2 linked regions of the Rattus norvegicus genome follow. The protein of the gene in region 1 interacts with the protein of each later gene in a biochemical or structural test. Links are inferred from orthologs where the notes say so. Each region holds a gene or a part of one and is shown on either strand. Other genes may lie near its edges. The genes, in order: Smurf1 and Axin1.

Region 1 (2,686 bases):
TGGGGGCTCTAAGAATGCCTCCTGCCCAGGGCCTCCGCCCAAGGTTTGCCCCTGAGGCGCAGTGACTGGAATGTTGTCTTGTAAGGCTCTACAGGCGCGGCAGGGCCCCGGCTCTTCACCATCCACCTGATTGACGCCAACACCGACAACCTGCCCAAGGCCCACACCTGGTAAGCTCTGCCTCGGGCTGCGGGGGTGCGGGGGCAGCGGGGACGCGCGGCCTTCGAGCTGTCCTCCTCGTAACCTCAGATCGCACCCGGGGCTAAACAGGACTTGAGTCAGCAGGGCCCCCGGGCTCACTGATCTGGGAACCCAGTTTTGTTGTGATGTACAGCAGTTAAAGCTGTGGTGCCACACTTGGAGCTGTACCCTGAAGGCTCCTGGGTGTCCCTTGGTTGTGTGTCATGCATGCGTGCACTGCCAGCGGAAGAGGGCGCTGTTGTCTGTCCGATGAGAAGCTCCACATTTCCTGTCTCAGGGCTGTTACCTCCCCTCCCGGGTCCTAGTTCCCAAGGTGGTTGGGGCGCTACACGGTAGGACAGAGGCCTAAATGCTGGCTGTGACTTAATGAAGATGAGTGGTTTAAATATATCCCAACCGTTGTTCACCCCAGGACCGTATATAAGACCTCAAGGCTGCCTCAGCATGGTATGGCGCGCGTTCCTACAGAATAGGTGTGTGGGATGGAAGCCCGGCACTCGGCCCTTCACAAGGCTCCGTCCTTCAGTAACTTAGCATCTCTGATCTAGGAGGGAGGGGGGGGGGGAGAGAATGAAGAAAACAAACAACGCAGCCTTCACTCAGTCTCTAATACCAGTCCTGACCACTTTGTGCCACTGCCTTTCTGCTTATTGGCTTTTAAATTACAGCAAGACAATGGATGTGGTGTGTGTTTTTGCACACATACTTGAAAGGAGTTTCCCCTGGACATCTTGAGTGGGAAGGTTGGGACACACCCATCTTTCTAGGATTTGGCATTCTCTCACCTTCCAGACTGAGCGTGCTGTAGTGGGGATTGACTGACCCTCAGCGGGAGACCTGACGGTCACCAGTGCAGATGACAGGCAGGCCAGGGTTCTTTCCAGTGTGGAGAAATCACACCCAGACACAGAACAGCGAGCAGAAAATGGGCAGGCTTACACGTTGATCGTGTAGCTCTTGACACTTTGCTGTGGGCTGACCAGAAGAAACAGACACAGCCAACAGGAGCCTGGGTTGAAAGCTGAAGTGGGCATGCATCTTCCCAGGGGAGGTAGACAGCACATCCCACTCATGACTCACCGTCAGAGAGTCTGAAGGCCCAGAGGCTCCCAGCAGTAACTCTGGCCCCTTTGCTCCTTTTCAGCTTTAATCGGATTGACATCCCACCCTATGAGTCCTATGAGAAGCTCTATGAGAAGCTGCTGACAGCGGTAGAGGAGACCTGTGGCTTTGCCGTGGAGTGAAGAGCAGCCCGTGGCCACAGAGTCTTGCTCACAACCACCAGACCCAAAGCATATGGCGTCTGCGCGCCTCCCGCATGGCGGGCGGAGGCCTGAGATTCCAGAAACCGAGGGAAAAGGCTCGTCTCCCTCCTCCTTTGGAGAAGGCAGGCCAGGGGACTTTCATAGGTGGCTCCCACCCATTTATTCCTCCTTTATTATAGTTCGCCCACTCCTCCATCACCCATCCAATAAAACGCAGCCAGGTTTCGCCCTCAGCCTCCTTGGCATGGTGGTAAGGCTGTGGTGTCTCCGGGAGCATCAACCATGGTCAGGGCCAAGCTGGGCCCCGAGGGTTTGCGTGGCCTCTGTACCAGCTCCCCCTCTAACTGTAGCCGCAAAGCCCCCTTTCAAGTTCAGCAGCTGCCAATAGCTTACTGATCTCAAATTCCAGAGGCCTCACAGGCTTGCAGCCTGTCCAGATAGCCGGTGGATCTCCAAGCAGGAGGTAAAGGCAGTGAATGCTTGCTGGAACTCCACTATGGTAGGAGACTCGAGGCGATGTGTTTTCCCCTTTGAGAGGTAAAGGAATTGCAACAGCCTTCACTGGAAGCCTGGGTACTTTTCACAGTGTCCTGGCTAAAAATAAGGTTTTGCAGGGGAAAAAAATCTTTAAAAGTACAATTTGCTGTGTTCCCTACCCAGTTTGAAATTATCACGTCATGGAGCTAAGCAAAGAATAACCAAAACCAGCCTCTGACCCCTGGGTCCAGCTCAGTTTCTGTGCCTGGGGATCCAGAGGCTCCTAGCTGTCTTGAAATGGACTCACATATGGGGATTGCTAAGAGCTAAACTAACAGAACAATTTTGTCACCGCAGCCATTGGGTGGAACAGCAGGAGAGGCCGCTGACCTGGGGTCCCCTGATGTAGCTCCCCAGGGTTGGTGCTGTGCACAGAGCAGGGTGTGGTGGGGCGCGTGGCAACAGGGTGGGGGCTTTACCTCCCTACGTGGCCCTCTTCCCCATGGCAGCGGTGATGCTAACAGTTCTACTCAGTTTGCTTGCTCAGTCTCCGAGCAAGGCCAAAGCCAGCCTAACACGTCTAACAGCACTTCCGGTCGCACACGGCTTCACAGACGTTGACTCTTACAGCCGAGCAGCTGGACTGAGACAGCTGAGCTCTGGTGGAAGGCAGGGCAGCAGCCAGGTTTCCATTTGTAGTTTTGTTGTTTTTGTTTGTGGTGGGGGTGAGAACAGGGTAATTC
Region 2 (3,821 bases), on another chromosome or scaffold:
ATTAAAAATGCCCCCTATAAGGAGTTTCTCTTACCACATATTAGCCACCTGAGCCTGAAGTCAGTGCCTCCCCCATCCACATATAAGGTGGATGGACACACACACACACCACACACACGCACCACAAATAAGTGTAAAAATACCTTTTTTTTTATAGAGAAAGGTGAAGAAACAAGTTTCAAAGCTATGCTCTCTTCTGGAGAGCACCATCATGCTGCTCAAGTTGCATACATCAGAACACACAATCAGAACTCCCTTCAGCAGATCACGCCATGGAGGGAAAAGGTCCAATTCTAGAAATCCAAGCACAGCCATCAGGAGTTTCTGAACCCTCCAACAACTGTCTACACAGACTAAACTGCCCCACTACTGTCTCATCCTCCAGAAAGAATCCAAAGTACTGACTAAAAAATTAGCAAGATGTGGAAGGGAGTGGAATGATGGGTTAAAAGTTAAAAGTATGGGGGTTGGGGATTTAGCTCAGTGGTAGAGCACTTGCCTAGCAAGCGCAAGGCCCTGAGTTCGGTCCCCAGCTCTGAAAAAAAAAAAAAAAAGAAAGAAAAAGAAAAGTTAAAAGTATTTGTTGTTCTTATAGAGGGCATGAGTTGATTACCAGCACCTATGTGGTGGCTCACAACCATCTGTTAACTCCAGTCTCAGGGGATCTGGCACCCCCTTCTGGGCAGCAGGCACATACATGGTGCACATACATATGCACATACATACATACAAAACACTCATCCCCATAAAAAAACTAAATGAATCTAAAATAAAAATAAAGTAATTATAATTGTCTATGTATTTGAATGTATTTCCCTCTCATTATTAAGGGTTAAGATCCTTCTATGCAAGAAGACATGAATTTTGTGCTAAATGGTAAAGTTTAAACATTATGACTTCTGGGTTAGAGAGATAGCTCAGTGGTTAAGAGCACTGATTGCGGGGTTGGGGATTTAGCTCAGTGGTAGAGCGCTTGCCTAGGAAGCGCAAGGCCCTGGGTTCGGTCCCCAGCTCCGAAAAAAAAAAAAAAAGAACCCAAAAAAAAAAAAAAAAAAAGAGCACTGATTGCTCTTCCAGAGGTTCTGAGTTCAAATCCCAGCAACCACATGGTGACTCACAACCATCTGTAATGGGATCTGATGCCCTTTTCTGGTATGTTTGAAGATAACTACAGTGTACTTATATATAATGAATAAATAAATCTTTAAAAAAAAAAACAAACCAAACCATTATAGCTTCTAAGAATTCTCACGCTTCTAATAATTCACAAGCCATATGCTTATAATTCACAAAGCCCTATATTTAGTAGTACACGTGTTACTAAAGAGGGAACTCAAAGAGTTTCCTCCATGCTATGCAAGAACTCTCCTAAGCCTTTACTCTTTTTCATTTTGAATCTCTACAAGTTGCCCAGAATGACACACAATTTTTCGATTCTCCTACCTCAGCTTCCCAAGTAGGTGGGATTACACCTGGCAAGTCTTGTTTGTTGCGTTCTCAATGCCACAAAATATAAGAAGGTATCTAATAACAAGTATGAAGTATCTAAGTAGGAAATAAAACTATAATTCAGCAGCAGCAGCAGCAGCAGCAGCAGCAGCAGCAGCAGAGATCTCAGCTGGGGTTAAAAACAAGGCCACCTGTTACCAACACCTTTCCCTCGCTCCTTTGCCAGGTCTCTGAGCTGTGTAGAGAAAATGGACACCCTGTGCCGAACTCACCTGAGCTCTCTGCCTTCGTTGTACCGTCTACTTGAGGGGGCCCTCGGGGCAGCAGTCTCCAATAGCAGCTTCTGGGTGAGCCTGCTGGGGGGGACAGAGTCTCGGCCATCATCCTCATCTGCATCTTGGTCACATTTCCATTCTTCATCTTCATTCAAAGTGGGCAAGTATCCAGACATGCCCTTCCCTGTCCCGGACCCTGAGCTCTGGTCACTGCAGACCTTTGGACTTTCTGAGCCTGTCCTTGTGTACTCCAAATAAATGTCAGACTTAAGGAAGGAAGGGTAGGTGTTCTCCTCCATGGTGGACTGGATTTCTGTCTGTGCCTGGTCAAACATGGCAGGATCGATCTGCTGCTTCATGACGCAGTCCTTTATGAAGCTCTTAGTGGCTGGCTTGGTTTGTCTGGACACAATGCCATTGCTATCCAGGATGTACTTTCGGTAGATGGCTCTTGCCAGCTTCAGCCTCTTTTCCTCATTTGAGTCACAAGGCTCAAGCTTTCTGAAGCCACTGCAGGCAAACCAGAAGTCCAGCAGGTCAGCACAGCCCTCCTGCTTCAGGAAAGTCCTGAACAGGCTGATCCCATCTTGGTCATCCAGTAAGGAATGCAGTGACTCAGCCCACCTCAAGTATGGTGGGGTGGGGGAGGCACTGCCCTCAGGCTCATATCCCAGATCCAGATCTGAACGTCTTGGGGTGGCTGTTGAGGTCTCACTTTTAATGCTGGTACCTTTCCCAGAGCAGAAACTGTGGTTGACAGGCCTCGAATCAGTGGATACCAGTTCTCCCTCTTCTCCAGGCACTGGGGGCCGGGGGGCATCTTCGGTGAAACTTGCTCCGAGGTCCAAGGGGAAACCCTGCTCCTGGACATTCATTTTGGGACTCTGCATCAGTGAACAATGAGCGCTGCACCCTAATACCTCAGTACTTACAGCTCCCAAGGGAATCAATCTCTCCTGTTAAAACCATTAAGAGGACAAGGATTAGGAAAGGTGGTCCATGGAAACACCAGAGGTTCTCTTGAGATGTGCAGGGATGCCCTCCCACTCCCACTTGGAGCAGAGACTCAGTGCAGACTTCTAGCAGAGACATATTTTGGCCACAATTTTTGCTCTATCATTAAGGCAATTTCTGGAACTTTTACAAGACTGCCTCTCACACTAAGTGAAAGTCTGGATCATGGGGGACATCTCTCCTTCAAAGGATGCCTTCAGTGGTAAGGCCTGAAGATCACCCATCCTGGCTAAAGAAATGAATGTCAAGAGGACAAGAAAGCTAGAAAAAGGTGCCTCTGTCCCCAGTCACCAGCATCACATCAGTCAGTTGGTCCCTCATCCATGAAGACAATCACCACACTTGCCCTAGTGACACTCAGAAACAAAGAAGAGGCACACTACAGATCCTCAGGTAGACAGGCATAGGGCAAGTTTAACAGAGTCTCTATTTTCTGTCTATTCTATTATTTTTCATACTTGGCATGCCTTATGAGCAACCACACAGCAAGATGTCCTTCCAGCTCTCAACAAGTAAGAGATCAAGTGATCATAGGCTGGCTACCTTGCACACCTTGGACCAGTGATGGAAGAACACAGTCCACACTCAGAGGCATCTATGCATTGTCTACACAGACAACTTTAGAGATTCAGAAAGCTGTACTTGGCTGCTAATTTCTCTCTTACAAGAAGATTCCCTTCTGATAGCATATGGTGACTTTGGAAAGACAGAAAAGGTACAGAAAAAAAAAATCAGTTACAAATACAAGTATGCTTTTTCAATAAAGAAGCATACAAGAAATGTGATTTAGCTCCGCCAAATGAAAACTGTACCACCTATACCTTTGTTGCCGTGTGGGGTGTGCAAAAGGGAGCAAATTTGTTCAAATTTGGATTGGACCCTGCTATGATCTCTGGTCCTTTCTGCTACATCTGATATATCTCAACATATCCAAAGGGGAGACAGCAACAAAGCCCCAATTGGTCCCAGCTAAAGTGAGCTAGAGAGGCATATGTCAGGGTCAGGTAACCGGAACAAAATGAATCCTAAAAACAAAAGACAGGCATCATGGTTCATGCTTGTACTCTCAGCACTCAGGAGACT

The links.
Region 2: of the proteins of Smurf1 (region 1) and Axin1, one has a biochemical effect on the other in vitro, tested with the Homo sapiens proteins (2 studies listed by BioGRID, with this or other methods). The link is inferred for Rattus norvegicus from reciprocal best matches to the Homo sapiens genes SMURF1 and AXIN1.

The regions. Positions count from the first base shown.
Region 1 is NC_086030.1:14,835,937-14,838,622, forward strand, and holds part of Smurf1 (E3 ubiquitin-protein ligase SMURF1), read left to right. Parts: intron 1-85; coding exon of another isoform or gene 86-94; coding exon 95-170; intron 171-1,345; coding exon 1,346-1,445; 3' UTR 1,446-2,686. UniProt on the Homo sapiens protein: E3 ubiquitin-protein ligase that acts as a negative regulator of BMP signaling pathway. Mediates ubiquitination and degradation of SMAD1 and SMAD5, 2 receptor-regulated SMADs specific for the BMP pathway.
Region 2 is NC_086028.1:15,670,759-15,674,579, reverse strand, and holds part of Axin1 (axin-1), read right to left. Parts: intron 2,681-3,821; 5' UTR 2,615-2,680; coding exon 1,722-2,614; intron 1-1,721. UniProt on the Homo sapiens protein: Component of the beta-catenin destruction complex required for regulating CTNNB1 levels through phosphorylation and ubiquitination, and modulating Wnt-signaling.